2 linked regions of the Macaca fascicularis genome follow. The protein of the gene in region 2 binds, or shares a complex with, the protein of the main gene of each other region. Links are inferred from orthologs where the notes say so. Each region holds a gene or a part of one and is shown on either strand. Other genes may lie near its edges.

Region 1 (2,608 bases), on a different chromosome or scaffold from region 2:
CAGCATCCCCCCAATCCCCCTTAGGTCTGGAGTCTCCTAAGGCTGGTCTAAGCCTCTGTTTTGGTGAGCAGGAGTGACTGAGCTATCTGTAATGATTCTAGGACTGCAAGCTAGGACACCTGGAAGTCTTCAGTTGAGGCAGAGACCTGGGTTCAAACTCCAACTCCTGTTAAAGCACTGTCCTCTTGGTGATGTGAGGTACAGCTCTCAGATGCATGACTGTGAGAGCATCTGCCTTTAGGCTAATGGCTCTCAACCTCTCCCTTTCTGAGTCCTAAGATCAGGAAGTCTTTCCTCAAGTTTTGTGTCTGAGTCCACTATAGCATCTGTGACTGGGCCCCAGAGCAAGACTGCCCCCTCCAAGGGAGCCTAGAGCTTTGTTAGGGAAATTGGGGGGTGAGGGGACCACAATGAAGCCTATTGTCTACTAGAAAAAACAAAAGGCTCCCAGTCTCTGGGGAGCCCTAGCCCATGCCCACCCGCTAATGCCCAGCACACAGGGAGGAGCCGGGGCCACTGGAGACAGGAGGTTTTATTGATGCTGATGGGGGTAGGAAAGGCCCCCAGAAGCATGGGGGCTGAGTCAGTCAGCAAATGCGTAAGGCCTGGGCACAGAGGAGCAGGTTAGGGCACATTCACCTTCTCAGGATTCTGTGGCTCCCTCACTGGAGAAGGGAGAGAGCATCTTGGGGGTGCAATTCCAAGAACAGCGAGGGCAGAGGTTAGAGATGGCTGAGAGCCCCTAACCTGAGGAGGCACCACAATAGGCAGCAACAACTGTGTGGAAAGCTAGATGAACTGGTCAGTAGCGGAAAATGGGAGGGGGCACTGGTTGGCCTCTTGGGGAGGGGTCCAACCTTGGCTTGGATGAGCTCATGAGAATACCCGGTGTTCCCAAGCAGAGCGGGGCAGAGCCCAAAGCCCCTTTCTCTGCAGGCCTCCTTAAGGAGAAAAAGGCACTCAGAGAAAAAGGCATTCAGGGAGCCCCCTGGAAAGGGGTGCCAGAATTAGTCCTTAAGGCACAGCTGGGGCGGACAAGGCACCAAGGCACAACTGGTGGGGGAGGGCAGGGGCAGCCTCCAAGCCGAGTGCCAGGGTCACAAGAGGACGCAGGACCGTCCCCGCTTGATCGGAGTGGGGTTGAGCACAGCCCGGACAGCCTCGGCGAACACTTCCTTGACACCATCCTGTTGCAGGGCTGAGCATTCGAGGTAGCGCACAGCGTGGATCTGCTTGGCCAGTGCCTGGCCCTGCTGCGGTGTGATGGGCGCCTGGCCCTGCTCCTTGAGGCGCCGTAGAGTGTCAGGCTGGGCTCTCAGGTCCTTCTTGGTGCCCACCAGCAGGATGGGCACATCAGGGCAGTGGTGGCACACCTCTGGATGCCACTTGTGTCGCACGTTCTCATAGGAAGGCGGACTGGCAATGGAGAAACAGATGACAAAGACGTTGGTCTGAGGGTAGGAGAGTGTGCGGAGGCGGTCATACTCCTCCTGGCCCGCAGTGTCCCACAGGTTCAGGTTCACTGTGCGCCCGTCAACTGCGCTCTGCGCGCTGTAATTGTCGAACACGGTGGGGATGTACTCTTTGGGGAAAGCGTTAGTTGTGTAGCAGATGAGCAGGCACGTCTTGCCCACAGCCCCATCACCCACCACCACGCACTTGATGCTCTGCATCGTGGGTGCAGTTGCTGTAGTGGAGGCAGTGCCTCCTCTCTCTTCTGGACCTCTCTGGCTGCAGTGACCTGTGGACGGATGAAAGGGGACATTCTTGGTTAGGGAGGCCTCTGCCTACTGGGAAGAAAAGATAAGGGCACACAAAGGGAAACCGGCTCCTGTTCCCTTAACCTGACACTATCCCAAAGTCCCACCAAGACAGTCATCAGAAAGATACACAATGAAAGGCCCTGAGACCGAGCAAAGATGCAGTATAATGTGGTAGAAAGCACATAAGCTCTGGCGCCAGATAAACTAAGGTCAAATCTTGGTTTTGCATTTCCTAGCTGTGTAACCCTGAACAAATTGCTTAACCTCTCTATGCCTAAGTTTTCTTACCAGTAAAATGAGGATAAAATAATATCTACCTCATTGAGTCATTATAAGGATTATATAATACACGTAAAGCATTTAAAACAGTGCCTCATCCATAAGTATTAGCTTTTCTTTTTTTTTTTTAGCCGGAGTCTCGCTCTGTCACCCAGGCTGGAGTGCAGTGGTGTGATGTCTGCTCACTGCAACCTCCGCCACCTGGGTTCACGCCATTCTGCCTCAGCCTCTCGAGTAGCTGGGACTACAGGCGCCCACCACCACACCCAGCTAATTTTTTGTATTTTTAGTAGAGACGGGGTTTTACCGAGTTAGCCAGGATGGTCTTGATCTCCTGACCTTGTGATCCACCTGCCTTGGTCTCCCAAAGTGCTGGGATTACAGGTATGAGCCACCACGCCTGGCCAGTATTAGCTATTTTCCAGGCTATACAGACACAAAAGGAGAGTGCACAAATTTAGGGATCCACTAGATCCTCAACTAAATATGGACACTTTCCACCAGGAGACTGGAAAGGGTTCTGGCACAGGACAGCTGTTCCAGGTCACTCTGTGATGCAGCCATAG
Region 2 (3,653 bases):
TACCAGTGTGTACTATCATGGCTGTAAAACAGGCCGGCTAACTTTTGTATATTTAGTAGAGATGGGGTTTTACCATATTGACAAAGCTAGTCTCAGCTTCCTGACCTCAAATATCTGCCTACCTTGGCTTTCCAAAGGGCCGGGACTACAGGTGTGAGCCACTGCACCTGGTTTTTTTTTTATACAGAGGAAAGAGATGGCTCCATTTTCCCTGCCACATCCACACACAGAAATAAGTAATCTCACCAAGCAAGGAGCCCCTCTGACATGTGAATGCAGTTATCTCCACCAGGAGCAGCCATCTGCATATTATCCCTCCTGTCCTCTCACCTTCCATCGCCTCCCTCCCTGGGAAAAACGTGGCGCCTCTCAGGGTCTCCCTTTCCTGATCCAGAAAACGAGGACTGCACTTCCCTCACCCTAGTGAGCATCCCATGAAACGACAGAAGGTCGCGGGGACTCCTAACTCCGCTTCCACCCAGCAGCAACGTTTTCACCTTTGTACATCTGGTCTTCCAGGTTGCATTCTATTTCATGAAAAGGCTCTATTGCTGGAACACTCCTAGCATCCCTCATCAGTCAAGGGTTTACCGTCTCTACCCACTTGCCCCTGGATTTGGGAAGGACCCCAGCGGGCCAGCTGTGCAGCAGAACATAGCTGCTGTGGAGAGTCCATATGCGGCCAGGACAGCAGAGTGGCCCAACGAGTCCCCGGATGGAAGGAGAGGGCGTTCTCCGCACACAAAGTTCTTAGCCCTGACATAGCCGTTAGACTAAACAAATGCAACTTACCTGCCTCCTGTCATCAGGAGCCTTCAGGAAAAGTGCATTAATCACTGCAATAGTATAGGTTTGGATTTCTTGATCTGACCTGTAAAGATACAGAACAATTCAGAAAATCAGAACACAAAGTTAGAAGAGACTAGCCCTGGGTCAAACCCTGAAAAGCCTCAAAATCAGCCTCCTCTCCCAAAAACAAGTGAGAGACAAAGGTAGGGCCTAGCAAATGCATTTAGCACTGAGAATGCATTTCAAACATCACAAGGCGGTAAATATACAACTAGTATTACCAGCTCACAGTACACTGGTCAGTGCAGAATGCCCAGAAATACAGGCAGCCTTCTCTCTTATTCAGATTGAAAGCATAAACCTAGGGGATGTTGTAATTGATGTACTACTAGTAATAGTTGTTTGTATGTATGTATGTATGTATGTATGTATATGTGTGTGTACATATGTGTAATTTTCTGTCTGATACAAGAAATATATCAGGGAGTAGTTTCAGATGTCTCTACATTCTTGGGCTAATTGGGTGGCTCTATTACATATTCTAAAATTCTATTTCCAAATATAAACATTTAAATAACAAAAAGAACGGGTGTTTGTTTATAAATCTCATTTTCACTGGAAAGCAACCAGAAATAATAAATGAAACAAAGCTCTAATGTAAGGCATGTGGTAAACAGTAAATAAGGAGGACTCAAGGCATAAACAAAGAGTGACTTATGAGCTACATTTAGGAATAACTTATCAGGCCAGCGAGACAGAAGTGGAGCTTATAACCAGGCCAGGATAGGGTGCAAAGCCCAGTTCATCACAGGCTGGCTGAGACCTTGGACAAGTTCATGGGTATCCCCCAAGGCACAGTTACCTCATCTACAACGTGGGGTTAGACACACTTACTTCATGGGATTGCTGTGAAGATAAAATGAGATTATGCATATAAAATCCTTAGCACAGTACTTGGAGAATAATAAACTCTTCACTTTGGTAATGTGCTTTGGGATGAAGATGTGTGCCTTTGAGATTCCCAGAAAAGACACAGTATATAAATTAATGCAGTTCACACTCAAAGGAAATGTGAAACTGGTCTTATTTCTAGAGAAGCTACCTACATTCTCATCATTTTGAAGAATTATGATTCTGAGGTCACAATCACTGAGGCCACCACAATCCTCAGCTTCTGTGACTTAAATTTTAAATGCTGATCATCTTCCCACCTCCAAATGAAAAAAATATCTAATATAATCTACTTTGGTAGTTTATATTATAAACACAACAGTTAACATTTCAGAGAACCATTCCCACCCTGCACCACCAACCCAAATGGGCCAATCGGGTTTCCTCTTGAGAACTGCGACCTACTGGACCAGGGACAAGAGTTAGTGGGAGTTGGGTCATTGTAGTGCCAATCACAATTCTAGAGAAAAGGCCATCTGCTGAGGACTCCAGGGAAGCTATGGTTTCTCTCCTCCTCAAGGCTTAGCTACTTATGTCATTTCTGGATTCTACAAGGTACCCCAGTATTGTTCCAATAACCTCCTTTCCTGTGTGAGCGAGCTCACAATGTTTATTATCACTGCAACCCAAAATACTTTAATTTCTAAAGTAGCACTGTACAATAGAGTCCTCCTCAGATTGGTATCATCAGAGACAACCTTCCTAGTTACCTAAGGGAGGAAAGAAGGGGAAAAATGCCTCAAAGACTGCAGGCTGCAGAGGCAGCTATCTTACTTCCATTTTATAGCTCAAGCCACTAGAAAAAAAAAAAAAACCTTTATTTTATTATAAAATACAAAAGAAGCAACTCACTAGAATCACCTTGAGCATAACTAAGAAAGAAGCCTGCCTTTAAAAATTCCTAGCAAAAAGGCATAACATTACATTTCTAATTAACTATGAAAATACTCATTATATCACAGAAAACATTAGCTTAGATGGTTTAGGAAAGAGAACTTAAGAGAACAAATCATCCTGTTTTACCTTCTTAAAAGTAAAACTCTGCCAATATCTACCAATATGCATTAAAATTGAGAGCTTACCAAGGGCCAGGTGTGGGGACAGGCAGTGCCAAGAACCAGTCTGGAGTTCAGTGAGGGACAGGGGCCAAGGGAAAGTAACCATGCCATTCCAGTGGGACACATGGTTTGGTTATATTGAGATTTTTTTCTATACATTTAACCAAACGATAAAAACACAAAATGTTTCCCAGTGCATCACCGTGGCCATCTTCCTGAAGCATTTCTCCTCCCCAGAGCATCTCAGCATGCTTACCCTTGCAGGTGTGGAATGAGCTGGCCGATGGTGATCTCCTGTGCCACTTTCTGGTAGAGGTCATGGCTATTGAGCACCATCGACTCCAAAATGGCCAAGGACCGCTGCAGGATCGAGATGTCTATGGCTGACTTGTTCACAAAACTTGCTATCTGAAAATCCAAGTGGGACACAATTGACTGCTCGTGGTAAGTAGAGCAGAGACGTGGAGAAGGGAACAAATGAAGCAAATCGGGAACTCATTTAAGAAACACCAGGCACTGAGGATGACCTGGAATTACAGCAAATAGCAAGAAACCCATCAATCCAGGGATGATTCATGATATCATCACAAAGCATGATTTATCACATCTCTATAATTCACTGATAAGCAAATTTTTTCAAAAAGACATACTTCCAAAGATTATTCTTTCTGTATTTCCCAGGACTATTCTCCTGAGTTTCATCTTTTGGGGGCAGACAATTTCAACACAAATATTGTAAGGATGCCTGTGTTTCTCTGGGACGGTAATTTCAACATATGATAATTGCCATTCCTCTTGCATTCCCAGGCTCCTCCCTCATCCACACAATCCATGGCTTTTATATGCTTATTATGT

Evidence for each region. Proteins that work in one complex are often made in the same cells at the same time.
Region 1: the proteins of ELMO1 (region 2) and RHOG are in contact, whole or in part, in a crystal structure (PDB 7Y4A), measured with the Homo sapiens proteins. The link is inferred for Macaca fascicularis from reciprocal best matches to the Homo sapiens genes ELMO1 and RHOG. Residues at the interface, in NP_001193409.1 of Homo sapiens: Lys9, Val10, Ala11, Glu13, Tyr18, Pro19, Leu21, Met22, Ala54, Asn71, Gly72, Ile74; in NP_001656.2 of Homo sapiens: Val36, Phe37, Asp38, Trp56, Tyr64, Arg66, Leu67, Leu70, Ser71, Pro73, Gln74.

Annotation. Positions count from the first base shown.
Region 1 is NC_088388.1:70,446,413-70,449,020, reverse strand, and holds the end of RHOG (rho-related GTP-binding protein RhoG), read right to left. Parts: intron 1,742-2,608; 5' UTR 1,674-1,741; coding exon 1,098-1,673; 3' UTR 515-1,097; downstream 1-514.
Region 2 is NC_088377.1:93,081,986-93,085,638, reverse strand, and holds part of ELMO1 (engulfment and cell motility protein 1), read right to left. Parts: intron 3,207-3,653; coding exon 3,055-3,206; intron 872-3,054; coding exon 793-871; intron 1-792. UniProt on the Homo sapiens protein: Involved in cytoskeletal rearrangements required for phagocytosis of apoptotic cells and cell motility. Acts in association with DOCK1 and CRK. Was initially proposed to be required in complex with DOCK1 to activate Rac Rho small GTPases.